3 linked regions of the Caenorhabditis elegans genome follow. The protein of the gene in region 1 purifies or fractionates together with the protein of each later gene. This does not show direct contact. Each region holds a gene or a part of one and is shown on either strand. Other genes may lie near its edges.

Region 1 (5,194 bases):
CTCCATAAAAACCCCTTCGGTAAGTGTTCATAAAACAATTATTTTGTCAAAAATTTTCCAGCAACTTATACAATAGTAGATAATTATGAAAATTGAGAAATCACGTGATATCCAACTCTCTTAGTCTCAATGCAGCAACAAATAAAAATTCTCATCAACCACCGTAACCAACTATTTTTATTATCTCAAATCCCAAGTTCCCATACCATTAAAACTCGAGACTGTGCACATAATTGGATTGGATACTTGTGAAAAACTGAGTTGTATCTTACACATTCCACTCTTTCTGTTTTGGACAAAAAAATAGTGGGAAATTTATGTTTGAATAGAATTCGATAAATACATGTGTGTGGATTTTTTCGAAATTGGAAAATATTTAGTTTGATATTTTGTAATCATTTTCACAATTTTTTAACACGTTAAAAAACAAAAAAAAAGAATATTAAAAACCAAAACCAAATGAAGAAAAATCTGTACGAATAGAAAAGTTGCATAACACCCAAGAATAATAATAATTGGCTAAAGATGGAGAATTTAATAGTTGCGTGACGGCGGAACAAAACTAGATGACCATTTAGACGGTTACTCAATATATTTAATTGCACTTTTTATGAAGATGCTATGGTTTTTCAATGTTTTTTCTCTTTTTGAACTGTCTCGTATTGCAAGTTATGGCTAACGGAATCGAAAGTTTGAAAGAAAAAGGAAAATGGAAGATTCTTGATGTTTGCTAATATATCGTATTCTCTAAGGATTCCAACAAGAAATGCATCACGTTCACAGTTTGGAAATACAAGTTCTACCGTATTCTACCATAATTTCATTTCTCAAGCATTTTTTTTCCAAATTTCAATGTATAAAAAAGACACAACGCAAGACTTGCATCAACACCCAGGTGGTCTCTAACTGCCCTTTTTTTCACTTTTTTACCTCGAGAATTTTGGGAAAAAAAGTTGAAGGAGTGTCAAGACACATCTTTGGTTATGTAACTATTGCGTAATCGAGACTTTAGGCAGCATTCACGTAATTTGGAAATTTAGAATTAAATTCAATATGTAGAAATAAACGTTTGAAAGCTAGCAAATTATAGAGGGAAATAATATTTTTAGAGTTTAGATTTCTGTGAGAATTCTTGACAAATTTTTAGCACCTACGATCGTGATGAGAAATCAAATCAATAAAAATTGGAACTTGCGAGAACATAGCGAGACCTTAATTCACCAATTTTGAACAAATGTCTCGATTTAAAACTTGAAAAACGGAGTATTGAATAGATGAGCACCTACCTCTCATCTCCTCAACCGGGAGGCGTGATGTGGCTAGTGTTTGCGAACAACGGAAAAGAAATAAGATTGAAGAAGGTAGAATAGAAGAAGAAGTCAAGTGAGAGCAGGTAAAACAGTTCAGTGCACATATTTATGGAAAATGATGGAATGGAGAAACGGAATTTTAAAAAAATTTGAAATGATGACTGGCTTGTTGCAAGTGTTTTTCGAAGAATACCGTATTTCCTCTATTAGTAATTTATTTATTCAACCAACTTTTCCTTTTATTTTCTTCCATATCCTGACAGAAAATGCTTAGGTATGATGTTATGAATATGGAAATTTTATTTTTGAAAAGATTATATTCAATTTGATAGTTCCAGTAAACAATTAAACGTTTCGAATTCCAACTTTTTATTGATCTTTGCAGTTTCTCTGAAATTGGCTTTGTTATTTTATTTTTCAAACTTTGGCCCAGTATTCCTGTAAACTAAGAACCCAGTTTGCAAGTACGTCAGTCTAAAAGATGATTTAGTATTTCGAATGTAGTTGTGCCACGAATCAGTAAAATCATCATTTAAATGTGATAGCGAAAACGGAATTGAACTCGCAAATCAGCGATAAATTATTTGATAAGGAAAAGTGTATAAGTGGGTGCTTATCAACTGAAAACTCTTGCTTTATTTCACTTTTTCTTTTTATTCTAGAAAGTGGAAACATGAAGACTCTTTTGGCAGTGCTACTGGCAGGTAAATTTAATTTTAAACATCGTTTTAGAATTTCTGTAGCTACTTTCTCTTTGAGGAGCTTAAAAGTGAAGTTGCCCAGATTCAATGCCAGTTCCGTAAATTTCATGAGTCGTTTTTTTCTAAAATTCGTGACCATTAGGCTATATGGCCAGAACATATTTTTATTACTCAAAATCTAAAAAAACAAATTATGAAGTCTCACATATTTTTCTGGAAATAAGGAATCTGGAAACTGTTTTCGACGGGAATATACTCTATCTAGACCTAGATCTAGTCTAGCCAATGTTCTCAAATGTTGTATTGTTGAATCTTTCAAAAGAATTTTCTACTAATCTTTACAACGAAATACACAAAATTTATAATTCGTGGATTCATTTTTATCGAGACGAGCAACTGTCTAAAAACTAAGGTTTCAAAACTGATAACATTATTTACCATCGAATTAATAAATTTTAAGTTCAGTTCTATGTTTACCATAGTTTCTGTAGTTTCACACTGAATAACTTAACATTTCAGCATGTGTGCTGACCCAGGTATTGTCTGCTCCAAGCAATGAGCAGCGTGTTCGTCGTAACATGATCCGTGGACGTCCACGTGGAGGAATGAAGAAGACTCCACCAGTAAGTGTTCAAACATCCAATGTACAGAACAAAAAAAGTCTATTCCAGATGTCTTCCGTTTCTCATATGATCAACTTTGACAATGTAGTCTCATCTACTTTCACTCAAACTCTTGATCATTTTGATTCTTCCGTCGGAAAGACTTTCCAGCAGAGATATTATCATAACAACCAATGGTACAAGGCTGGAGGACCAGCTTTCTTGATGCTTGGAGGAGAAGGACCAGAGTCTAGTTATTGGGTTTCTTATCGTTAGTTTACTTTTTTATCATACAAGACATTTTATTTTTAAAGCTGGACTTGAAATCACCAACTTGGCTGCCAAACAAGGAGCCTGGGTCTTTGATATTGAGCACAGATTCTATGGAGAGACTCACCCAACCAGGTATTTCTTTTTACGAAATAACTCCCTATTATTAATGTTTTCCAGCGACATGTCCGTACCAAACCTGAAATACTTGTCTTCTGCCCAAGCTATTGAGGATGCCGCCGCTTTCATTAAGGCAATGACCGCCAAGTTCCCACAATTGGCCAATGCCAAGTGGGTCACTTTCGGAGGATCCTACTCTGGAGCTTTGGCCGCATGGACTCGTGCAAAGCATCCAGAATTGGTGTATGCTGCTGTTGGATCCAGTGGTCCAGTTCAAGCCGAGGTTGACTTCAAAGGTTAAAAAGATACGCAGCAATTTACTTCCAATTACTTTCTATTTCAGAGTATCTTGAGGTTGTACAAAACTCAATTACCCGTAACTCAACTGAGTGTGCCGCCAGTGTGACCCAAGGATTCAACTTGGTTGCTTCTCTTCTTCAAACTTCCGATGGACGCAAACAATTGAAAACTGCTTTCCAGTGAGTTTATTATGATGTATGCTTACTAGTTAGCCAAAGCCAAAAACCTCGAGTGAACCTTCTGTATTCCCCCCATTCCTGCGCGTTTCAAACTGAATTAACCGCTCTAACTTTTTTGAAACTTTTCTCTGGAAGTTCCAGTCTCTACATAGTTCCTTTGTCAGCTATTCTAGTCACAAATGTTTTGAGAAGTGCGTATAACTTGGCGTGTTCATTCAATGCGTCAAATTGAAATATATATTGTAAAATAAGCAACAATTTTTCAGTCTCTGCCAAGACATTCAAATGGACGATAAATCACTCAAGTATTTCTGGGAAACAGTATATTCTCCATACATGGAGGTTGTTCAATATTCTGGTGATGCCGCTGGATCGTTTGCCACTCAACTCACAATTTCTCATGCCATTTGCCGTTATCACATTAACACTAAATCAACACCACTTCAGAAATTGAAACAAGTCAATGACTATTTTAACCAAGTCAGTGGATATTTCGGATGCAATGATATTGATTACAATGGTTTCATTTCTTTCATGAAAGATGAAACATTCGGAGAGGCTCAATCTGACAGAGCATGGGTTTGGCAGACTTGCACTGAGTTCGGATATTATCAATCAACTTCATCAGCTACTGCTGGACCATGGTTCGGAGGTGTAAGCAATCTTCCAGCTCAATATTATATTGATGAATGTACTGCTATCTATGGAGCTGCATACAATAGTCAAGAAGTTCAGACATCTGTAGATTACACTAATCAATATTATGGAGGAAGAGATAATTTGAACACTGACAGAATTCTTCTACCAAATGGAGATATTGATCCATGGCATGCACTTGGAAAATTGACAAGCTCGAACAGCAATATTGTGCCAGTTGTGATCAATGGTAATCTTGAACTTTATGTACAAAAATAGTATAATTACATTAATTCCAGGAACCGCCCATTGTGCTGACATGTACGGAGCATCCAGCTTGGATAGTATGTACTTGACAAACGCCCGCCAAAGAATCTCGGATGTTCTTGATGGATGGCTTCATGCTAATTAATTGTTATGGATTTTATGTTATAGAAATGAAAATTTGACTCTAATATTTCATATCAACGATATTACAAAAATAATAACAATAATCTAAATGTTATAAATAACAAAAGGAAAACATTATCGTCTCGGTGGCAGCAAAATCTTCTGTTTCTCCTCATCAATCTCGTCTAAGATCCGATCATCGCCAGCCCAAATTGCTTCCAAATCGTACTTCTCACGGCATTCTTCACTCATTACGTGCACCTGAAGTATAGGCATTAAAAAATATAATATGTAGGAAGTAATACCTGAACTCTTTCCACCTCACTGACATACCATCCATTGCTTCGTTTTGTGCTCCTTCGTGCATGTGACATGGATCCATTCGACACTCCGTCAATTTTTAGAAGAGATCGAAGATTTTCAGAAATTGCTGAAGCTTGTCGCGAATTGAATGCTGAGCAAATTATCTGAAAATATGAGATTAATTTTCTCCTTACTGAATTACGAGGATTAATTACCTTATGTGTATACGGTGTCATTTCTGTTTCTTCTGATTTTACAACAAATACATCTTTTGCTCTTTGATCAGTCAAAGCTCCGACCACATTCTCTACAAAATCAGCGTCTTCTGACAAATTCTGGCTTCTGAATCCTGTCCGTTTTGGAGGTTCTTGACTTGTTTCGTG
Region 2 (5,000 bases), on another chromosome or scaffold:
GGACATTACAGATGAATGGTGGGAAGTAGAAGTGGAATTCACAAGCATCTCTGTACATTCCACTTGATCCGTAAACCTCTGTTTGAACTCCGTCGCGGATAGCATAAATCTGAAGATTGGCGTGCACGCGGTCCATAGAAATGAATTCGGGGTAGTTGGAAACATGGAAAACAGGAGAAGCATCAAAACCAGCAACTGGTTGGCGGAGAACTCCGGCTGCAGAAGTGAGGGTAGTTGCGAAAGACCAGAAAATGTCATAGTCTGGATTGTATTGGCTCATTCCACCAAGGTTATACTTCTTCTGGTATACTTTGAAGGTACACGCAGAGTTTGGTGAGTCGGAAACCAAATTGAAGAACCATTGTCCAGCGAAGATTTGGTTGGAGGTCCAAATGTAGTTAACACCATCATTGAATGCAACAAAGAAGTCAGGGTGTGCTCCGGTTGGGGTTGTGACTTGAAGTTTCAAGTTAGATCCTGTAGCAACAACGACAACTTGATCAGCAGTCACGTCAACTGCAACCGATTTGTAGATGTTTTGATTAGCACAGTGAGAGTAATCTCCAGATAGAGCAAGTTGAGAGCGGAACAACGTGTTGTACATATGAACGTAGAAGAACTTAAAATATAATGCATTAATATTAAAGAATTAAAGAAACATACGTTGGAGATAGTGGTTCTGTTGTTAAAGTAGAACGTGTTTCCGCTGGACATCGCAGCCATATCGACCATATCTCTGTACCCAGCACTATCGGGTGAAGTATTGCAGCCACTTCCAATTGCTGGTTGCACGTAAATGAAGTAGACCTGAAACATTCTGGTATTTTCGAATAACTTTAAATTTAATAAATTTTCCATACTGGTGCTCTCCAATAAGATTCCAAGTGTACAATTGTTTGCTTCTCAGTGCTATCATTTGGATTGGCATCAGTGATTACATAGATTGGTGATTTGTTAGTTGGATAAAGAGAAAGAGCAGATCTGTAAAACAACCATGAAGATTCTGTAAAACATTGAAAAACTAGTCGATACTTACGCAACAGCAGAGAAAACAACATCATCACATCCACCGTCGGATGGGGCAGAGTTAATCGCTTTAAGTAGATCAACCATAGCGGCATCCCATGAGTCATATCTCTGGTTTACCAAAAGCTCTAAAAATTAAAATATAATGCATTACCGTTTCCTGATAAGAAGGTAGGCTTATGGGAGCCACCCCGGTAAATTAGTTGCAAATCAACTCACTGGCGTTATCAAAGAGCACAACGATGAAATTAGTGAGATAGCCAGGCTCGGCAGATAGTTCATCGACAATTCTTGAAACTGAATTTGTGGCCTGTTGAATAACATCTGACAATTGGCTTCTAGAACGAATGACCAGAGTAACAGTCGGGTTTTCAGCATTGAAATCAATTCCGGATGCACCAGGGCAGACAACTGTAATGCATTTGTGATCAGTTTATTTTCCGAGGCGACTTACTATTTTGACAGTGGAAACCGGTGAATCCTTCTGGACATTCACAATGTTCGCTTGTGGGAGTTGGAAGGAATCCTGAAAAATAAAATATTTGATGACCAATTTAGGCTGGCTCAAAAAAGTGTCCTTTTTAGAAGGTTGTCTTTGTGTTATCAACCATGTAGCACATCAATGGCAACATAGCGTTTTCTATTTAACAGCTCTAGTTACAGTATTCACCTCCATTAGCACACAACATCTGAGAACAGTCACGTCCGGTGTATAGTCCAAAACAGTAACAGTATGGTGAACCACTGGAATCCTTCAAAACTTGACCTCCGTTCTGGCAGGTTGTCAATGGAGCAGCGGTTGTTGTTGGAGCAGGGACAGTGGTGGTAGACACTGGTGGCACTAAATTACTCAGGTTGATTATTGTTGTCAACTACGTTCACTTACAAATACATTGGTAGGGCAGAATACGACGGAAAACGTATCCGTTATCGCTCATTCCTTCAACCTGAACTTTTATGATTGCAATTTATATCAATTCATTGCACTTACCTGTAATAAATTGTGCCCAATATCGTTATTTCCAATTTTTCTGCAAGTATACCTCTCCAAAATATATGGATAAGTACAATTGAAGCGAGTTGCCATAGGAATGTATCTTGAGATATGGTTCTCGGCGCCAGTGAATCCAATCGCCTGAATTTGACCGGGAAAGTGTAGTCCTTGTGCATGAAGAACAACAGCTGATTCAGTGTCAAAATAGGCAAACTTGAGGGTTGGATAGTCGCTGCGCTCTGGTTGATCGCCTGATGTAAAACCTCCAGTAACTTGAATATTGGTATGAGCGGTCATCATCATAGTACAAAATTCATCTCCAGAATCAGCTCTTGGTCCGAGAAGATACTGGCCTGGCGCTAAAGTCTCATATGTTGCCACATAGGAAGTTACGGTTTTTCTGTCAGTGTCAGGGAAGATCAGATCTCCACTCTCAGATTGGAGGTAGAAAGTTGGATTCAATGGTGACTCAGTTTCGACCTCAATTTTGATATTCCGCATGGTCTCATCAACAACAACGACGTATGTTTGACTGCAGTTTGCAAGATTTGTTGCATCAATAGAGATATCGTCAGAATCCTTGTTATCAGGAATGTAAGGATTGCGAGCAGAGCACAATGCTAAGAAATTGCATTTTTAGTTTAAAAACACATATGTGATCCGACTTACGATATTGACAGGTGGCTCCTGTGTATCCTGGCTTGTTACATCCTCTGGTGGCCATTCCAGCAAAAACATGAGGCTCGGCGATAGATCTTTTGGAGATATGATGAGTATCAACCTGAAACCATATATGGAACATAGTTAAACGAAATCTAGAACTTACAAAGAGATCGGACTGCTCATCGAATTGAATCTTCTGTTCACTGACTGGGTGGAAGAGTTGATTACTGTTGGCCGGGTTCCATGACTTTAAGACTTTGCGGATTCTCTCTTTGTGACTGAGCTCAGGCTCAGCGCCCAGGCAGATCACGGCTAACGCCGCAATCAAAACCCAGCTTCTCATTACTGAAATTTCACATTAATTTAATTGCTCTTAAACTCCAAAAAAACTAAATATCGTAAAAGGTATTGAGTTCTGAAAATGAATGTGAAAAGGCAGGAGCAGCCTGGCAAATCTAATGAAATTATCATGAAATAATGATTTAAACCCTTTTTAATCGCAAAAGGAGAGTGTGTCCGGCACGTCATATCACCGTGGCAAACTCTTATCTTTGCCATCTCAAACAGTATTAAAATTTATTCCACGCCCTTTGCATTCTAATTGAGTAGTAGCAGAATAATGTCACAGAATACGATTTTGTATCATCAAATTATTATCAAGCACTTTCTGATGATTTCGACTTGAAGTTCAACCACTAGTAAAGTTTATTGAATTGCCATCACATTTCACTTTTGTATTATATTTTTTCTCTCGTAATTTTGATTTTTCGGTCCAACACATAAATTGTTAAATAATGATAAGTTTATTAAAATTCAAATTATTTCAGTGATTTCCGGGTCGACTGCCTTAGTTGTTGATACAGTAGACACCTCCATTGGCGCTGAAAATAAGAACATTTCACTTAATGAACACACTTATATATCTTACTTGGCATTGAGGATAAGTTGCTGAATGGTCTTAATTTGGTTATTCAAACTAGCAAAATCTGGAGCTGTAAACGAGCAAGCACTTCCTCCGGAAATAGTTTGCAACTTGTTGTTATCAGTCGCGCCACCATAACCAATAGTGATGATTCCGTATTGCTTCTGCGCGAGAATTGTCTGAGCTGCCGGAGTTGGATCGGTGTCGAAGCTAAAAAATATTAATTTTATCTGGCAATCTTTTGAACACTTACGCAGTAGTTGTAGTAAGGTAGATCAACACATGGTTGCTAATGCCACTACGGTAACCATTGTTCGCCGCCATGAAATCGGGAGAAGACACAATTTGAAGAGTGTAGTTAAGAATTTGCCCGGCGTCTTCAAAGTCAGTGTAGCCACCGCTGAGTTGGGCCAAGTTAGAGTTCAACATTGCTTGAGAGGAGAGGGAGTTCAGATTGGCAGCAGGAGGAATTGGGTTTGTGATATCACCTCCGACGACAATTAATCCAACACGAGCTCCACTCTGGCCAACATTGAACGAAACCATGAATGTTTGAACAAATTTGGTGAGCTGAAATTCATATGATGGAAACATAAAGGGCATATAATGTATACCGAGTCAAAGCTGGATTGTGCACTTTGTGATCCATCGATCATAAATACAACATCAAACTGAGCGGATGTGTATGGATTTTGGGTCTGTAAGTTCAGAATTTCTAAATCACCAGTAATACTTGAAATTTACCGTGGCGACTGGTCCCTGAGTTGGTTGAGTTCCTGGGACTTGAGTTTGCTGAGTTACTGGACCTTGAGTCAGCGCGGTTTGTTGAGTTGGCATGGTGATTGGGCCAATTGTTCCTGTTGCTGGCTGGTTGGTTGTTGGGCTACGTCCTGAAAAATTTCTTGCACAATTAAACAAGTAAGCGTATATTACCATTGCAGATGACAATTTCTTGTCTTCTGAACTTTTGGTTTGCTTCATCAACTCCATGAACATAGACGGCAATCATGTCGCCGTTGCAAGTGAACAAATCAGAGTAGTACTCGTAAGAGCAGCCTGCTCGAACGTAGAGCTCTGATCGGAGAATGTTCTGAAATTTTATCACTTCTGAGTTTATTCTCTTGTGAAGGGACAATTTTAATGTTGCTTACTGTGATTGAGTTAGCTCCAATATCGAAGATTTCTACATACTGCAATTGTCCTCTGTGGAATGGATTGCCAGCAAGATGGAAAACAGCGACATTGTCAAAACCAGCTGTTGGTTGTACGAAACGTCCATCCTGATGTGAACCAAGTGGATCAGGCTTTCCTCCGATTGGGTTTGGCATCGAGAACTTTGTGTAGACCTTCGCTCCACCAGTTGAATAGACATGTGCAAGGCACAATCCTGGAGGC
Region 3 (2,968 bases), 1.9 Mb from region 1:
TTGAATGCTACTCCATACGACTCTACCGGAAAACAATACGAGTACCCAATTCATTTGAGTCAGCCAATTGTTGTCAAGACTCAAATCAATAACCCAACGAGCACATATGTGTCGCCAAATCTTCGTAACACCGTCAATATCTGGAAGTATGGAGGATGGAACGGATGCACATGGAGCTCAATCCCAACTCTCGGTCTTTTGTAAGTTTATATCTTTAAGTTAATTCTAATGGATTAGAATGGGTGAACTGTTTAGGCTATTCTCGACTTCTAAATAATAAATAACGATTCATCTTCCAGGAAGGACCTTGACGCCTGCGCAAACGGAGTCCCATGCCCAGTCCGTCCAGGAAACCAAGAACTTGACGTCATCATTGACTTCACCAAGTTCGACCAAATCATCGCCTTACTCAAGGACAATCAGCCATATCAACTCGAGTACATCCTTCACGACAACCAATCCGGAGACACCTCATGCATGATGGTCCAGGCTTGGGCCTTCCTTAAGTAAAATGCTTTCCCATTTGGCGATTGGCTTTAAGATTTCTAATTATATTTGCACTATAACACGGGCGTATATTTTAACAACAATAAAATGTACATAATCTTGACTTTTTGTTGGTTTTTGTTCATTATCAATTTGAAGGAAAAATTTCCGAAATCGAACTAAAGTTGCGATAACATTTTGATAAAAAAGAACTATTCGCACTGGAAAATGTTGCATATTTGCCATTTTGGCAATGAACCAAAAATCAAACAAGTAAACAAGGAATCAGAAATTATTAATAATTTCCCGATTCAGTTATAGTTTGAAAACTGAGAAATTTCAATAAGTACCTAAAGTTGGAAGTATGAAGAATACGTGCTTGCACAGGTTTTTTAAAACTTTGTCTTTCCTTCAATTCATCGGATTTAATGATCAAAATAGAAGAAGAATATAAAAATCGCATAGACGTCAAAAATGAAAATTTTCTTCATATCTTATGAGTACAACGAGTTACTTTACCACGCGTCAATTTCTTAGGCCTCCATTGTATCATAATTTTATTTTAAAAAGCTTGGAATCAGTTATTCATTGTATTAGAAAAACATGGTGCAGTAGCGGCCTTCATATTGACACGTGTTACAGTAACCCGCTTTCCGCGTGGCGAGACCCATTTGCGTAAATTATGACGGAAACTCTCATCTTCTGACGTCTACGTAATATTAAGACGCTGATAAAGCTAAAGTTGCTGAACAAAGTAATGAAAAATAAAAATGTATGGTACCCAAGTTTTAAAGGCGCATAGCACGAGTGAGCAAAATTTTCAATCGTGGCGAGACTTCGAAAGGTGCATTTCTCAGGAATACTCAATATACATATGAAATTTTTTCAATGAAAATGAGTACTTCCTGTGGATATTTCCGGTTCTCTGTGACCTCTTTTTTATTCTAGAATCACAATTACATGCAAAAAACTATTAAAACGCGTGGTTTCTTCAAATTGCCATGTGCTTTGATATTTCTCTTATCGTAGTTTTTCCTATCGAATTTGATGATCATTTTGCAATTTAGTTTTCCATTTTCTCAAATTTCCCAGTTAACCAATTACAGATTCACTATTTTATTCCAACTTAGATCACATCCACTAGCTTTCGAAACGAAAAATTCTACTTCAATTCCAGATGCTTGCTCGTTGTCTGTGTCTCTTCGCCCTACTTGCTCTCTCGTCGGCATGCGATCAATGGCCGAATACTACAGAGACAAAGGTCAACTGGTGGCAATGCTCAAATGGACCAGTTATGGTGACCAATGTTAATCCAACTGATAAGAGTGGTTCGCAAGTTTTCTGATAGTTTCTACGAATGTATAATTGAATCCAGGTAACAGTGAATATCCAATCCGTCTTACTGAACCACTTCTCATTGCAACATCCATCAATGATCCATCCTCAACTTATACTACTCCTGGACTTAAACAAACTATCAAGGTCTGGTCATGGAATATGGCTACTTGTGGATGGTCTTCAGTACCAACTTTTGGACTTTTGTAAGATTTTTGCTTCTTACAGTAACCTACAGTAACCTTTTCCAGGAACAACATCGATGCTTGTACCAACGGAGTACCATGCCCAATTGAACCGAAAAACAAGGTCATCAATTTGGAACTCGACTTCTCTGATACTCCAGCTATCATCAATCTTCTCAAGGTTATTTTGATGTGTATTCTTCGAAAGTTAAACCCCCAATTTCAGAACGATAAGCCTTACCAACTCGAGTATCTTCTTCATGATGACCCGAGCAAGGAAGACCTTTGCATTATTTTCCAGGCTAGAGCTCTCACTCATACTTAAATTTTGAAGTGAACAATTTAATAAAGCAATAAACTTTTTTCTCAACAAAAATTATAAATTGAATTCTTAAATAGTGTAACAAAACGTGGAAACTGGGTGAAATATGGGAAACAACCGAATGCGAAACAAAACAGGAAAAATTTAGGCAGTGAGTTGAAGCTGCTTGTAGACTTGCTTTCTGTATTCTTCGAGTCCTCCCTCCAAAGTTGTCACCATTCGATCCTTCACAACCCAAAGTTCCTTGCACACAAGCTCGATGAGTTGCTCGTCGTGAGAAACTAAAACGACACCTCCATTGAAAACATTAAGCGCTTTTCCAAGAGCTTCAACCGTTTCGACATCCAAGTGATTAGTAGGCTCGTCAAGAATCAAGTAGTTTGGCCTGAAAAATACTATGAATTAGACGGAGTTTGAATAAATTTTTTTTTCTAGGAAAAAATGAATATTTTTTGAAAATGTTGCTATTTTCAAGCAAAACTCACTGCATCAAGGCTAAATTAGCAAATGCCAATCGAGACTTTTGACCTCCAGAAAGTGTCTCAACAGATTGCAAAGCCATATCACCAGCTAATCCAAATCTTCCCAAAGCTGCTCGATAATCTTCTTGAGTCTTTCCAGGATGATTCTTCATCAACAC

Evidence for each region.
Region 2: the proteins of K12H4.7 (region 1) and hrg-11.2 fractionate together in Caenorhabditis elegans (co-fractionation; one large-scale study listed by BioGRID). This does not show direct contact.
Region 3: the proteins of K12H4.7 (region 1) and F42A10.6 fractionate together in Caenorhabditis elegans (co-fractionation; one large-scale study listed by BioGRID). This does not show direct contact.

The regions. Positions count from the first base shown.
Region 1 is NC_003281.10:8,047,830-8,053,023, reverse strand, and holds K12H4.7 (Putative serine protease K12H4.7), read left to right. Parts: upstream 1-1,942; 5' UTR 1,943-1,983; coding exon 1,984-2,014; intron 2,015-2,530; coding exon 2,531-2,634; intron 2,635-2,682; coding exon 2,683-2,884; intron 2,885-2,927; coding exon 2,928-3,018; intron 3,019-3,063; coding exon 3,064-3,299; intron 3,300-3,346; coding exon 3,347-3,482; intron 3,483-3,748; coding exon 3,749-4,368; intron 4,369-4,417; coding exon 4,418-4,530; 3' UTR 4,531-4,574; downstream 4,575-5,194. Other genes in the region: mals-1 (Mitochondrial Assembly of ribosomal Large Subunit), read right to left, coding at 4,644-4,769, 4,814-4,975, 5,027-5,194.
Region 2 is NC_003284.9:3,232,381-3,237,380, forward strand, and holds the start of hrg-11.2 (C-type LECtin), read right to left. Parts: upstream 3,029-5,000; 5' UTR 3,027-3,028; coding exon 2,847-3,026; intron 2,802-2,846; coding exon 2,690-2,801; intron 2,641-2,689; coding exon 2,018-2,640; intron 1,974-2,017; coding exon 1,913-1,973; intron 1,868-1,912; coding exon 1,697-1,867; intron 1,553-1,696; coding exon 1,481-1,552; intron 1,438-1,480; coding exon 1,246-1,437; intron 1,155-1,245; coding exon 1,037-1,154; intron 982-1,036; coding exon 861-981; intron 808-860; coding exon 664-807; intron 620-663; coding exon 1-619. Other genes in the region: Protein irg-7, read right to left, coding at 3,531-3,564, 3,612-3,815, 3,859-4,175, 4,220-4,303, 4,350-4,495, 4,539-4,695, 4,757-5,000.
Region 3 is NC_003281.10:6,175,557-6,178,524, reverse strand, and holds F42A10.6 (MD-2-related lipid-recognition domain-containing protein), read left to right. Parts: upstream 1-1,663; coding exon 1,664-1,814; intron 1,815-1,861; coding exon 1,862-2,027; intron 2,028-2,072; coding exon 2,073-2,187; intron 2,188-2,232; coding exon 2,233-2,331; 3' UTR 2,332-2,368; downstream 2,369-2,968. Other genes in the region: F42A10.7 (MD-2-related lipid-recognition domain-containing protein), read left to right, coding at 1-200, 300-510; abcf-3 (ABC transporter domain-containing protein), read right to left, coding at 2,473-2,713, 2,814-2,968.